Linked DNA regions of Xenopus tropicalis. The protein of the gene in region 2 interacts with the protein of the main gene of each other region in a biochemical or structural test. Links are inferred from orthologs where the notes say so. Each region holds a gene or a part of one and is shown on either strand. Other genes may lie near its edges. The genes, in order: lrp1, thbs1 and plg.

Region 1 (4,283 bases), on a different chromosome or scaffold from region 2:
TTCCTCTTTGTATTTTAGAATGTCAGTCTTTTATAGTAATTGTATAATTAAGGTCGGCAATTGATAGTAGCTATCGTGCTAACTGATAAAGCCCCAAGCCAACGGTACAGTAGATCGCGGCAATATGGACATATATGAGAAAATTAGATAAAACCAACAAGCCTAGCAGTCCACTAGTTGTTATAGGTGCAAAAATAAATCAGGGCTCATTGGAGCTTCTATTACACAAGTGCATTCAGTTGCTGTTCTATGATGCTGTTATTTGTTCTGATCTTGACCCAGTTTTGAAATCGCTATCAAGGGGGGGGGGGGGGGGGGAGAGAAACAAAGAGGACAAAGTGGCCAAAGCTTATTTTTCATAATACAGGCATGGGATCTGTTATCCAGAATGCTTGGGAACTGTGGTTTTCTGGTAAGGGATTTTTTTTTAGAGCTCCATACCTTAAGGGAGCCCATACATGTACCGGTACCGATATTACCATACAAAACAAGGTTTGTAACGTGTATGGCCATCTTAAGTCTACTAAAACATCACTTAACCATTACTTATTAGGATTATTAGGAAGGGTTTTTTAAGCTTAGTTACCATCAAGTACAAAGTTCTGTTTTATTATTACAGAGAAAAGGGATTTTTTTAATCAGAATTATTTGCTTACAATGGAGTCTAGGGGAAATATCCTTCTCATTATTCAAAACTTTCTGCATAAAGGGTTTCCGGTTAACAAATCCCATACCTGTACTGCTATCTTCTTCAGCAACAAGCAGCTTACAAGCAAACACAATATGTGTGTGTGTGATGTGTTTACATTTCATACACCAGCAAAAGTCCAAATTTAAAGCCGATTTTGGTTACTGCGTTGGAATATTTGCCGGAATCTTTAGTACTCAGAATGGATGAGGTGGAGGGGAAAAAAAAAAAGAAGTTAGCCAAATCCATCATAGCAAGAATGAGATCATGCAGCGGACTCCTCTAACATCTGGCTCGCAAACAAGACCCTATCCAATGAATCTCCCCTTCTGTCCCTGCCTGTGTTAAATGCCATGTCACGCACTGGAGGCGCACTGCAGCCCCACTGTGTAGAGAGGAAGCCGCTGATGTGGTTGCAGATGAGGTTTGCAAATAGCAAATGGAGATGCCTTCACAATGTCAGCCTTGTTTCCCTCGTCAACAACCCTCACCGTTTCCAAGTGATGCCATTAAGGAGAAAAAAAAAAAAAAAAATACACAGAATCAAACGCCATACTGTTGACAAAGAAATATACCATAACATTCATGCCCACTGCTTCTGACACGGCCCCTTTGTACAAGGCTGCAGAATATAAAGGTAGCTCACATGCCACTCACACTGGGCCTATGGACATGCATATTTCATATCCACCTAGATTGCTTTTCTGCATCACTAACTCACATACAGGCTAGCACTACAATTTCTAGGATGGGATTGGGAGCACTGGTTTAACCCACACAGGCACACATGACAGCATTTCCAAGGGGAAGAAATCCCAGAAAGCAATTCATTGTGCAACCTGGGTGAATTCAATTGGATTCAATACAATGCAAGAGGCAAAAGGGTTGAGTACAATTTCCACACGACCACAAAAAAAAAAAAAGTAATTCTGTATAGATAATGAGAAATTGGCTGCGTAAATAGTGTTTATAAATAGATAGCACGATTGTTAGATGGCAAGCCCATACGTCAGATGCGTTATAACTAATCAATAAAAAGGGATAGCCATTGATTTAATGAGATACACACACAGGCAGGCAAGAGAAGGGCTGATTCCCCCCCACCATGTGTGGATCATTTAGAATTTCCATCCATTATGAAACCACACAGAGCAATAGAAAGAAACCAGAGCTGTGTATGGAAGCTTTGCAATCAGAGGGGCCTATTCCTCAAACCAAATTTTTGCAATGACTGAAGAAAAGACCCTCACTTGGCCAGAAACAAAACAAATCACCCCTCCCCCTCTGGCAGAAAGGGGCACCTCTGGAACAGATTAGATCCAATTGCTACAATATAACAAGACAGTTCCTAACATTGCTCTATTTCATCTGAGGAAGAAACCTCGTCACAAACTGAAGTGGCCTGCAAAGCCATAACGGTAAGGGCCGACCTGGGCACATACACTACAGGGAATTCTGGGAAATGTAGTCGAACCTTATGGTATGAATGCGGCATAGAATGTAGGAAACGGAATATCGCTCAGTGTCAGGGCTGAATAGGTGTGTGTGTGTGTTACAGACAGCCATCCTAGCGTTCCCATTCCTGAGAGTGCGATCCGATTTGCAGGCCTGCAGTGAGGGATGTCAGCACAGAGAAACCTTTACCCCATTCCCCCTCTGCCCAGTCCCGAAGCCGCTCGGTTACAGGCGCAGCACAAAGCAGGACTTCTACTCACCATCGTTGACAGAGGTCGCAACAACGTGCAAGCAACAATACAGTAATCCCAATGCGATTCCAGCTGCAACATCTGTCCTAGGAGACGGCATTGTGGGGGGAAAGGACTAGCAGGGGTTAAGGTGGGGAGGGGGTGCCTTGATCCAGTGCTTGGCCCTCGCCTGGCAGCCTCCCTCCTCCTCTTGATGCCTTGATATCCAGACGCCAGTGGCCACAGAGGGGAAAAAAGAAATCACCCAAAAACGTGAACAATTAAAGGAGGGAAGGTGGGGAGGCTGAGGCCAGCAGCAGCAGCAGCAGGGCTGCCAATGGGCTGCACACTCTCTATTCCAGTGCTGGGAAGGGGTTGATAAAGGGGAATGGGGGGGTTGGAGTGAGGGGGCATATGCAGTCCTAGCGATTCCCCTTCTCGCCCGGCAATAGCTGCAACCTGACTGGATATCCCCCCTGATTATGAGGGATTGAGGAATCCAGCAGTGTTATTAATGAGAAGGGGAATGGCTGGGGAGAGACTATGTGTGGGAGGGAGGGGAGGGAGGGGGCGTGTCTTGTACGGTTAGCCCGCCCCCACCAGCTCTTGGGATAAGCAGGCTGCGGCTTTACAAGGGGGGCGGGGGTGGTCTCTAACCTGTGGCTTCAATGTAAAGCTTAGTCAGGGCCTGTTTTAGGGCCATTTGCCTGGGGTCCCTGCACAGTATTGATAAAAACACATAGAAGATAATGACAGTTTGTCTGGTGTATAATAGCGATGTTCACCCTGCAGCTTTCAATGTCATTAGAGAATTATAGTTTAACAAAAGCCGGAGGGCTGCCGGTCGGTAGCTCCTCTCAGATTCCTAGGGACCCTTTTCTAACTCTGGCCCTGCAAGTGGGTTCCAGCTTCATTGGCACTTTGGTTCATTTGTAAGTGGCAAAGATTCAATTAACTAGAAAGAAATCAGTATAGCATAGGTCAATAGGAGCCCTATCGCCCTATGTAATTGTGTAACTCTCTCCTGGCTCCTTTTTCCCTGGTAATAGTGCCTTCTGCCCAGGAATCCCCTGTCCCCTCCTCCCTGCCATTCTCCAGCATTCATTCTAATGCTCCAGTAGCTGATGTTTTGTCTTCTGTTCAGTGGCGGAACTAGAAGTTACTGGCCCCACAGCAAAATCATTTCAGGGTCCCCCTAAAATGTGGGAATAAGGCATTTTTTTTAAAAAATACTACTTATCTTACTACTTATCATTCAGCGCCTCACTGGGGCCCCTATATATTCTGAGCCCCCAATAGTAGCTATAGAAACTGCAGATACAGGAGTTGTTATCTGGAAATTTGTTATCCAAAAATATTAGTGCCATTTCCAATAGTGTCCTATATAAATATATATTTGTATACAATGGACTTGCTTTTTCTATAAGACAGTGCCTGACGGTATTAGGGGCACTACTGCCATAAAGCTGGCTAGGAAACTCACCTCAGGTGGCAGTGCCCTGAGCGTTACCAAGGGTTGAGTAAAGCCACTCCTAGTGACATAAGGAGATGAAATTCTGATTCTGAGTTGGCTCTTCTATTGCACTCTTGCACTAGCAATGCAACCCCCCCGACCAGCTCTGTCAGGAAAAAGCAGCATTGACCTGGCCCCCTCAGGGTGGCACTTAACCCTGAAACAGCGTTGGGCAGTATGCTTTATAAATCCATGGAGCAAATAACCAGTATCAGTATCAGTAATCAATACTCCTGGGCAACACTGTTTTGCAATGAATACTTGCCACTTTTAATTATAACGGTTGTACTTTTTGGGCATATAGAACATGCCTATACTTTTTTGGCGGGAACACACTTTAAAAAAAGCTTATATAAAACATATATATTTTTTCACTTTTCTAGAAAAATGTTCATTA
Region 2 (4,151 bases):
TTACAAAGAAGGGGGGTGAATTCCTGCCAGACAGATGAAAAGGAAAGGATAGATTACATAGAAAGACAGGCAGACATAGGGGCAGATACAGGGACAGGGGTAAAAGACAGTTCCTTTAGGGAGACAGGCTGATAAATAGATCGAGAAAAAACAGAGTAGCTGATTTAATGGATAATAATAGATAAATATATACGGAATAGTAAGATAATAAATAAAGAACGCGTGTGGCACTTTACAAATAATAATAAATAGATAACAGGCAGATATAGCTGTGGATAGATTGACTGATTGATTGATTGATAGATAGATAGATAGATAGATACAGATTGATATGAAAGCAGAAAGAAAGAAATATGATATATAGTTGACATATGGATAGATAGATGTTGATAGATATAGATAGATAGATAGATAGATAGATAGATAGATAGATAGATCGATAGATAGATGATAGATAGATAGACAGACAGACAGACAGATAGGAAAGTAAGAAAGAAAGATAATATATAGATGGCATATGGATAGAGAGAGCTAGATGATACATATAGATAGATAGATGATAGATAGATAGATAGATAGATAGATAGATGATAGATTTTGTATTGTGATAAGCAAAGTAAAACAAAACTATATAGACTTATATAGGCTAAGACTAGATAGAGAAAGAGAGAAAGAAAGAAAGACATATAGATGACAGATAAATAGATAGATGGATAGATAGATATAGATAGATAGATATAGATAGATAGATAGATAGATAGATAGATGATAGATTATAGATGATGATAGATAGATAGATAGATAGATAGATAGATGATAGACAGACAGACAGACAGATAGATAGATAGATATTCTGTATTTCCATAGGCAGAGTAAAACAAAGACAAAGTAAAGCTTAGACTACGCATAAAAGAATCAAATCCCTATCGTTCAGCATATGAAAAAGTGCCAGTAGGTGATAAATAGAAAAAACCCGATAGTTATTAAAAGTGATCACCTTCCATGTACAAAATACAGTGTTTGTGTATAACTGTATATGTATATATATGGATATATATGGTTATACACTTGCATGCCTTTCCTGTGTATCTCTTGAATTGATACAAAAAAAAAAGAACTTGGCGCAGAGTCAATTAGAAATTCCTTAGCGTGCGTCAGCGGCGAATATTCGCTGTGCGATAGTTGTGTCTCTCCCTCATGTTGTGAGCTCATAGAATAAACAGTAGCCCGTTTCCTACCGCTCGGCCTGTGATTGGCTGGGGGAGGCTCTCTGGGATGTGCCAGCCGCTTTATATGGAAGGGGAGAGCGCTGTCCGGGGATCAGAGCGCACAGTGAGCTGTTGGGCGCAGCTAAGGGCTCCGTATTCTATTCCTACCAACTAGGCGCTATTAGCCCCACTACCAGCAGCAGCAAGGAGCGGACTCACCTCACCAGAGGAGCAGAGAGAGAATAAGGACAAGAGTAAGAGGAGATGCTTTCTTCCCATTGCTATCCCAGTGCTGCTGCTCTTGCTGTATGGACTAACTCATCCATGTACCATAGGGGTGCCTCCAGCCTGTACCTGTGGATGTATTACACTTCTTTCTGCTTATCTAATTCATTAGTGCATGAGCTTATTACATGGGGCTGAGGACCATGGCATATGTGATTCTGGCTTAGTGCATGATGCTTTTACCTGTATTAGGGAGTTAGCCCTTGGCTTTAAAATTGTTGGGTTTAAACTTTTCTGCAATGTTAATTCTTATAGTAAGTTTATAGAATTTACCATTCAGATTGCCTTAGTATATGACTGTAAGACTTGTGGCTAATTCATACCCATTACTGGCAGCTGATGGTCTTTGTGTCATTTTAAATCCACTTGTGATAGTATAACGCCATCCCCTGGCGCAGCTGGAGGTGCCTGGCACTGTATGTGTTAATTATATTGGTTTAGCGCTGTCCCTGATTACAAGCAAGGTGTTTGGATTTGCTTTTTTGCCTTACTGAGGTGCTGTTGCTGATATTTTGGAATTATTGTTTGAATAACAGGTGATGAGGTTCCCTTTCTGTTTAATTTAATATACAGGGAGAGGTGGTTGTGTGGTTTGAAATTGCTTGTCTGCTTGCCCCCCAGCTATAGATCTCCCTTTCTGTGCCATCCCTGTGGAATGTAAATGAGTGGTTATTACAAGCCACACCAAGAGCTTTATGAAACTTGTCATAAAGGAATGCTCACTATGCTTATTAATGTTACAACGCCAGTGCAATTCTCTTACTTTCCATGAGCATGATGAAAAGCTAATGTATAGATGCAATTACAGACAACGCAAGTTGGTATGTAGGTGTAATTAAAGGTGGAATTCGAGACCAAGGGGCCCCTAGCAATGCCAGAAGGCTGGGGGTCCAAATGCAAACCTTGACCTGTTGTTGAACTATAACTCCCAGCATCCACCGGCAAACCTTCAGAAGTCGTAGATCAACAACTAGGTGTAATTAGTACTGTGTATTTACAGACAGGTCTATTATTGGTGCTTTGAATAGATATATACCACTCACTGTGTTATTGAAAAGGTTAAATGCTATTGTGTGTGACCAGAGATATGCAATATGTGGGGCCCTAGCTACTGTTGAACTGCACCTCCCTGAGGGTTTGCCTAAACTGTTAAGTAGATACCTGGTTTGATGGTAGTGGATATATATTTATAGGTGTCCACCTTAAATTGTTTCAGAAGTAACTGAAGTTCTCCATCATGGGGATGATGAAGGGCATTTTCCTACTGTTGATGTTGGCCGTGCCTCAAACATATCAAGCAGCAGGTAAGAAGGAATAAACTGATATAACGCTTATATTATATATTATATTCTCTTTAAGTAATCACTGTCCTACAATTTGTATGTGTAGAAACTCAGAGTAAATGTAGAGATGGGGCTTTGTACGAAGAGGTGGGAATCATTACTTGTGTCCAGTCTGTAGGTGCAAATTGTCCCTTCATCTAAATTGCACTAAAACATCCACATCTGTGTCACTTTCCCCTATTTAAACACATATATTAGGCCAACTAGAAATCATGCCACTGACTCTCACTGTATATTGTATGAGAGAACCTCCTGGTTCTCCAGGGCTTGATTGTTACATAAAGTCTAAAGAACTTGTTCTGGCTGCTTCTGGGGGTAAATTTTGTATCAAACTTAGATATTCTGCATATGTTTCCATTTCAGAATCTGGGAATGATGATAACAGTGTATTTGATCTGTTTGAGTTAACGGGATACAACCGCAAAACTGGTTCTCGTAAGCCTGAAGGACTCCATTTAGTAAAGGGACCTGACCCTTCAAGCCCAGCTTATAGAATTGAAGATGCTGACTTGATCCCACCACTGCCAGAAGTCAAATTTCAAGATTTGCTGGATGCAATACGTGCTGATAGGGGGTTCATTTTGTTGGCGACTCTGCGTCAAGCAAAGAAAAGTCGAGGGGCACTTCTGTCTGTGGAGAGAAAAGATGGCGCAGGGCACATCTTCAGTCTGATCTCCAATGGCCGGGCTGGAACCCTAGATTTAAGTTTAAGTGGAGAAAGGAAGCAGCAGGTGGTGTCTGTAGAAGATGCTCTCCTAGCTACTGGCCACTGGAAGAACATCACCCTCTTTGTACAAGATGACCGCGCACAGCTCTATGTAGGATGTGACAAGATGGAAAATGCTGAGCTAGATGTGCCAATACAGAAAATATTTACTGAGGACCTGGCAAGCAAAGCTCATCTTCGAGTAGCAAAGGGAGGAGTAAAGGACAACTTTCAGGTGAGTAGGGCCAAGTAAACCTGAGACTCCTTTTAAGTGAAAAGATATTGAGAAGTGGTCTTTGGCTGAGCAGGCATGATTGATGATTCTTGTGATGTGTATCACGAAAAAGAATGGTAACAGAATTATATGTCTAGCAGAATGAGGGCTAATCCCTCATGTTTTGTAAAAATCAGTAAGTTTTCTTTGAATAGGTGTAGCAGAGTGGCTCTTAATCAAAGTAACCCAATTAGCAAAGGGGATCTAAATGGTTTCTTTCTCTTGCCAGGGAGTCCTTCAGAATGTACGCTTTGTGTTTGGAACCACATTGGAAGCTATTCTGAGAAACAAAGGCTGCTCAAGCAGTAAGTTGAACTCATTCCGTGAAAGTGCTT
Region 3 (3,652 bases), on a different chromosome or scaffold from region 2:
AATGTTTAGAGACCAGATGCTAGAAAGGCACATAAAAGGCAAATAAAACTTGTTACATAGTTACATATTTAAGTTGGGTTGAAAAAAGAGCAAGGTCCATCAAGTTCCACCCTTCCAAGTGAACCCCAGTGCACAGACATAGGCGCATACCAACCTACTTTACACTCACATACAACAACTTCAATACTAATTGTAGATTTTAGTATCAAATAATCTTGGCTATTATGCTTCTTCAAGAAATCATCCAAGCCTGCCGTGGCAGAGACGTTGTGGCCAGACCTATTTGGGGGGTTGATACCTAGACTAGCTAGCAGCAGTGGCATGTGAGTTCACTCCAGGAGTAAAAGGTAGCGAGGGAAAGTTAGCAAGGACTGTTGTCCAAATGAGGGGTGCTTAGAGAGGGGTAGAGCTCCTGAGGAAGGGGTAACAATCCCTAGTGAGCAGGGAGCCCCTGAAATGGCTAATGGCACTCTATTGTTGCATCCAGATGGGACAGCGGTCCTGGAGGCTTTGGTGAGAAATGTTGGATGTGTGTGAAAAGTAGATTAAGAGGGAGAGAATCTGCAGAAGTATTGTACATTATTATCATCCTTTGTTGGCAACTAGAGCTCTGTCTTATGTCTGCCTCTCTGTGAGAAATGCCTGTTATTAAAGTGTGTTTGAGTTCACTGCAATTGTGTGAAGATGCCTGCTTCTTTCAGCAAAAGGCCCTGCACCTGCTGGTGAGAATAGTAAGTGTCTGACAGCCACGGGTAGCAACTTTACACATGGTTTAGACAAGCTATATGACACTGTTTATGTCAGTACTGTTTCTGCTGACAAGGGATACTCCATTAACCTGATGCATGACACAGGATCAGCTGTTTCTTTTCTACTAGAATATATTTACTGCAAATACTTTGCAAAGGCCCAGAATTTTTTACCTATGTGGTGGTGGGCTGATAATAGAATCCAATTTTGACCACTCCCTTTTAAACCACACCTACTTTAAGCCACACCCATGTTATCACAAGAACTTTTAAGACCATACCCACATTAATGGTAGTAGCACCAGTCCCGGATTTGTGGTGAGGCCACAAAGGCCCGGGCCTAGGGCGGCACAAATTTAGGGGCATGCCGCCCCGCCGCAATAAAATGTGTAAGTTTGGCTCCCTTACAGAGCAATGGGGACCTCTCCCCACTGCTCTGTATTGGACTTTAAATTCTTGCGCATGCGCCCCCGGGGTGGGGGCTTAGGGGAGACCAACGGGGGTGGCCTAGGGGCGCCGGAAGGAAAAATCCGGCGCTGAGTAGCACACCAGAAAACCAAATAATTGGTGCGCATTGCAGGGATATTACCATTTACTCATATGTGAAAGAATTATATTATATCATATTAAAACATACCCTTAAATCCATATGGCTCCTTGACCCTGTGGGTAGCACAGAACCCCCCGGCACATATTTAAACAACCCCCTTACAAACAAATTCTGGCATGTGTTAGTATGTGTGTTAGTATTTTAAATCCTATTGGGAACTCAAATAGAGGAAAAAAAACAGGGAAAGTGGCAGAGTATGGCACACACATGCAGAGTGGGGCAGCCAGGCACACAGACAGGGCAGGGCATACAGTTAAACAACTGATCAGTGCTAAAACGTGATCTTCAACAAACAAATGTGCTATATCCAATTAATGAATTGCAGCTTTCTGAATCATCCCATCTGTGCAGGAGTCCATAGTCTGATATAAAAGTAATAGCACTACAAGGAATTGCACATTAAATAAAAACTATATAGTATATTAAGTTAATACAGATTGTGTGTTAAAAAGTAACCAATAAAATCCACTTACTGTATAGTGACTTGTGCACTTGTATGATCTCTCCTTTACCACACACCCAATGAGTCATTGCTGACTAAAATACACAGTTGTCAGAGAATCACACAATTAGGGCATTCAGTTTATTATATAGTTTTATGGAAGCTGACTTCTTAGTGCTGTTTGCTTACTATTTCTATATTACATTATTTTTTAAACTTTTTTTTTTAACGTTCATGAAAACGTTTCAAAACGTCCAAATGACTTCTTCATTTCAACTACCTGTATTGTTAGGTAATAGACATCATAAATAATGCCACAAACAATGTCTCTTTTTTCCAGATTGTATTGTAAGCAAAGGTGAAGATTATCGTGGCATAAAGTCAACCACACTTAATGGACATATATGCCAAGCATGGAGTTCCCAATCACCACAAGAACATGCAAGTTTTACTCCAATTACTCATCCACAATCTGGATTAGAAAGCAATGTAAGATATTTATTTGCATTTAAAAGCAATTTTTTTATCTCCTTAATAGCTTATTATCTCAGAATAACAATATCATCATTTATACATTATGTCTTTAGGCCTCTGCACGCCATTGTGCACCTGTGGACTGAGCTTTGAATCAAATATGGCCTGCATTAGGCCTTGCCCCAATCAAAGAGGGTGGGCAGGGGGAGCATGTAGGCATGTGTTATTATGTGTGTTAGTATTTTATATCCTAGCGGGAACTCAAATAGAGGAAAAATACCAGGGAAAGTGTAGTAGTTTAAAACTTCTTAGACACTTTATTTTTGTAATTTATATTGTTCAAGACTTCCTTGCCGGATTCCCCTTACCTTATAACAATGTTACAGATTTAGAAAGATACTGGTATATCAGACATTTACCCATAGTGCTAGGAAAATCTAGGACAGTATACTTGTTTTCCACCCCAACCCACCCCAGCATAATTACATCCCATAGGTACTGTATTACAGAGGGATGGATAACCACTAAATACTTAAGACTACTTTGGGGAGCATGATATAAAGAATGAGACCTAATGTATACCAGCAATATTAATCACTAACTAATGTGTTTTCTTTTACATAGTACTGCAGAAATCCTGATGGAGATATTAACGGACCATGGTGCTTTGTAACGACTCCTGGTACAGTTAAGTGGGAATACTGTGACATCCCTCGCTGTGGTAATTGAATTATTCTATACTAACTTGTTTTAAAAAATGAAAAATCAAATATATCTATTACCTAATTTGCTTTAATTCTGAAGATTTGTATTGACATACAATGAAGCAGCTTTTATAACAGTATTTAGGTTGTGCTATATTAAGGTCTCATTCTTACCCAATTAATTGCCCTTTGTGTAGCATATTTAAAGTCACCAGACATTTATTTTGCAGATTAACCATGCCTTCTGATTAATGTTCAGGGTCGGAATGGGCCGAAAAAACCTGGTGGGCCCTGGCGGTCCAGACTCAGTTGTTGTTACCAGTCCCCCAGCCACCAGTGTCCTCTCCTGATGTGTTTTACTTACACGCGTTCAGGGGAGGATGTTGGGCGGGTGATGGGGGCCCCTGCATGGGGTTAGAGGGGCGCGGCCAGCAGGGCACCTTGGAGGGTACCGTCCGGACATTTCTTTGTAATGCTTTAGTGACCTTTTTGTCATTTCAGCGACAACTGGGATTGAATGTGGAAAACCAAAGAAAAAGCAAAGGAAGTGCTTTGGGAGAATTGTTGGTGGATGTGAAGCCATTCCATTTTCTTGGCCATGGCAAATAAGTCTTCGTACAAGGTACACTACATGTGTATGTAATGCAATGTCGTACTTATGTATGCAGCACTG

The links.
Region 1: the proteins of thbs1 (region 2) and lrp1 form a complex in vitro, tested with the Homo sapiens proteins (3 studies listed by BioGRID). The link is inferred for Xenopus tropicalis from reciprocal best matches to the Homo sapiens genes THBS1 and LRP1.
Region 3: the proteins of thbs1 (region 2) and plg form a complex in vitro, tested with the Homo sapiens proteins (2 studies listed by BioGRID). The link is inferred for Xenopus tropicalis from reciprocal best matches to the Homo sapiens genes THBS1 and PLG.

What each region holds. Positions count from the first base shown.
Region 1 is NC_030678.2:139,400,001-139,404,283, reverse strand, and holds the start of lrp1 (prolow-density lipoprotein receptor-related protein 1), read right to left. Parts: upstream 2,898-4,283; 5' UTR 2,495-2,897; coding exon 2,404-2,494; intron 1-2,403. UniProt on the Homo sapiens protein: Endocytic receptor involved in endocytosis and in phagocytosis of apoptotic cells. Required for early embryonic development. Involved in cellular lipid homeostasis.
Region 2 is NC_030684.2:119,060,203-119,064,353, forward strand, and holds the start of thbs1 (thrombospondin-1), read left to right. Parts: upstream 1-1,303; 5' UTR 1,304-1,462; intron 1,463-2,709; 5' UTR 2,710-2,730; coding exon 2,731-2,797; intron 2,798-3,199; coding exon 3,200-3,777; intron 3,778-4,045; coding exon 4,046-4,121; intron 4,122-4,151. UniProt on the Homo sapiens protein: Adhesive glycoprotein that mediates cell-to-cell and cell-to-matrix interactions.
Region 3 is NC_030681.2:60,080,757-60,084,408, forward strand, and holds part of plg (plasminogen), read left to right. Parts: intron 1-2,141; coding exon 2,142-2,290; intron 2,291-2,899; coding exon 2,900-2,996; intron 2,997-3,480; coding exon 3,481-3,601; intron 3,602-3,652. UniProt on the Homo sapiens protein: Plasmin dissolves the fibrin of blood clots and acts as a proteolytic factor in a variety of other processes including embryonic development, tissue remodeling, tumor invasion, and inflammation. In ovulation, weakens the walls of the Graafian follicle.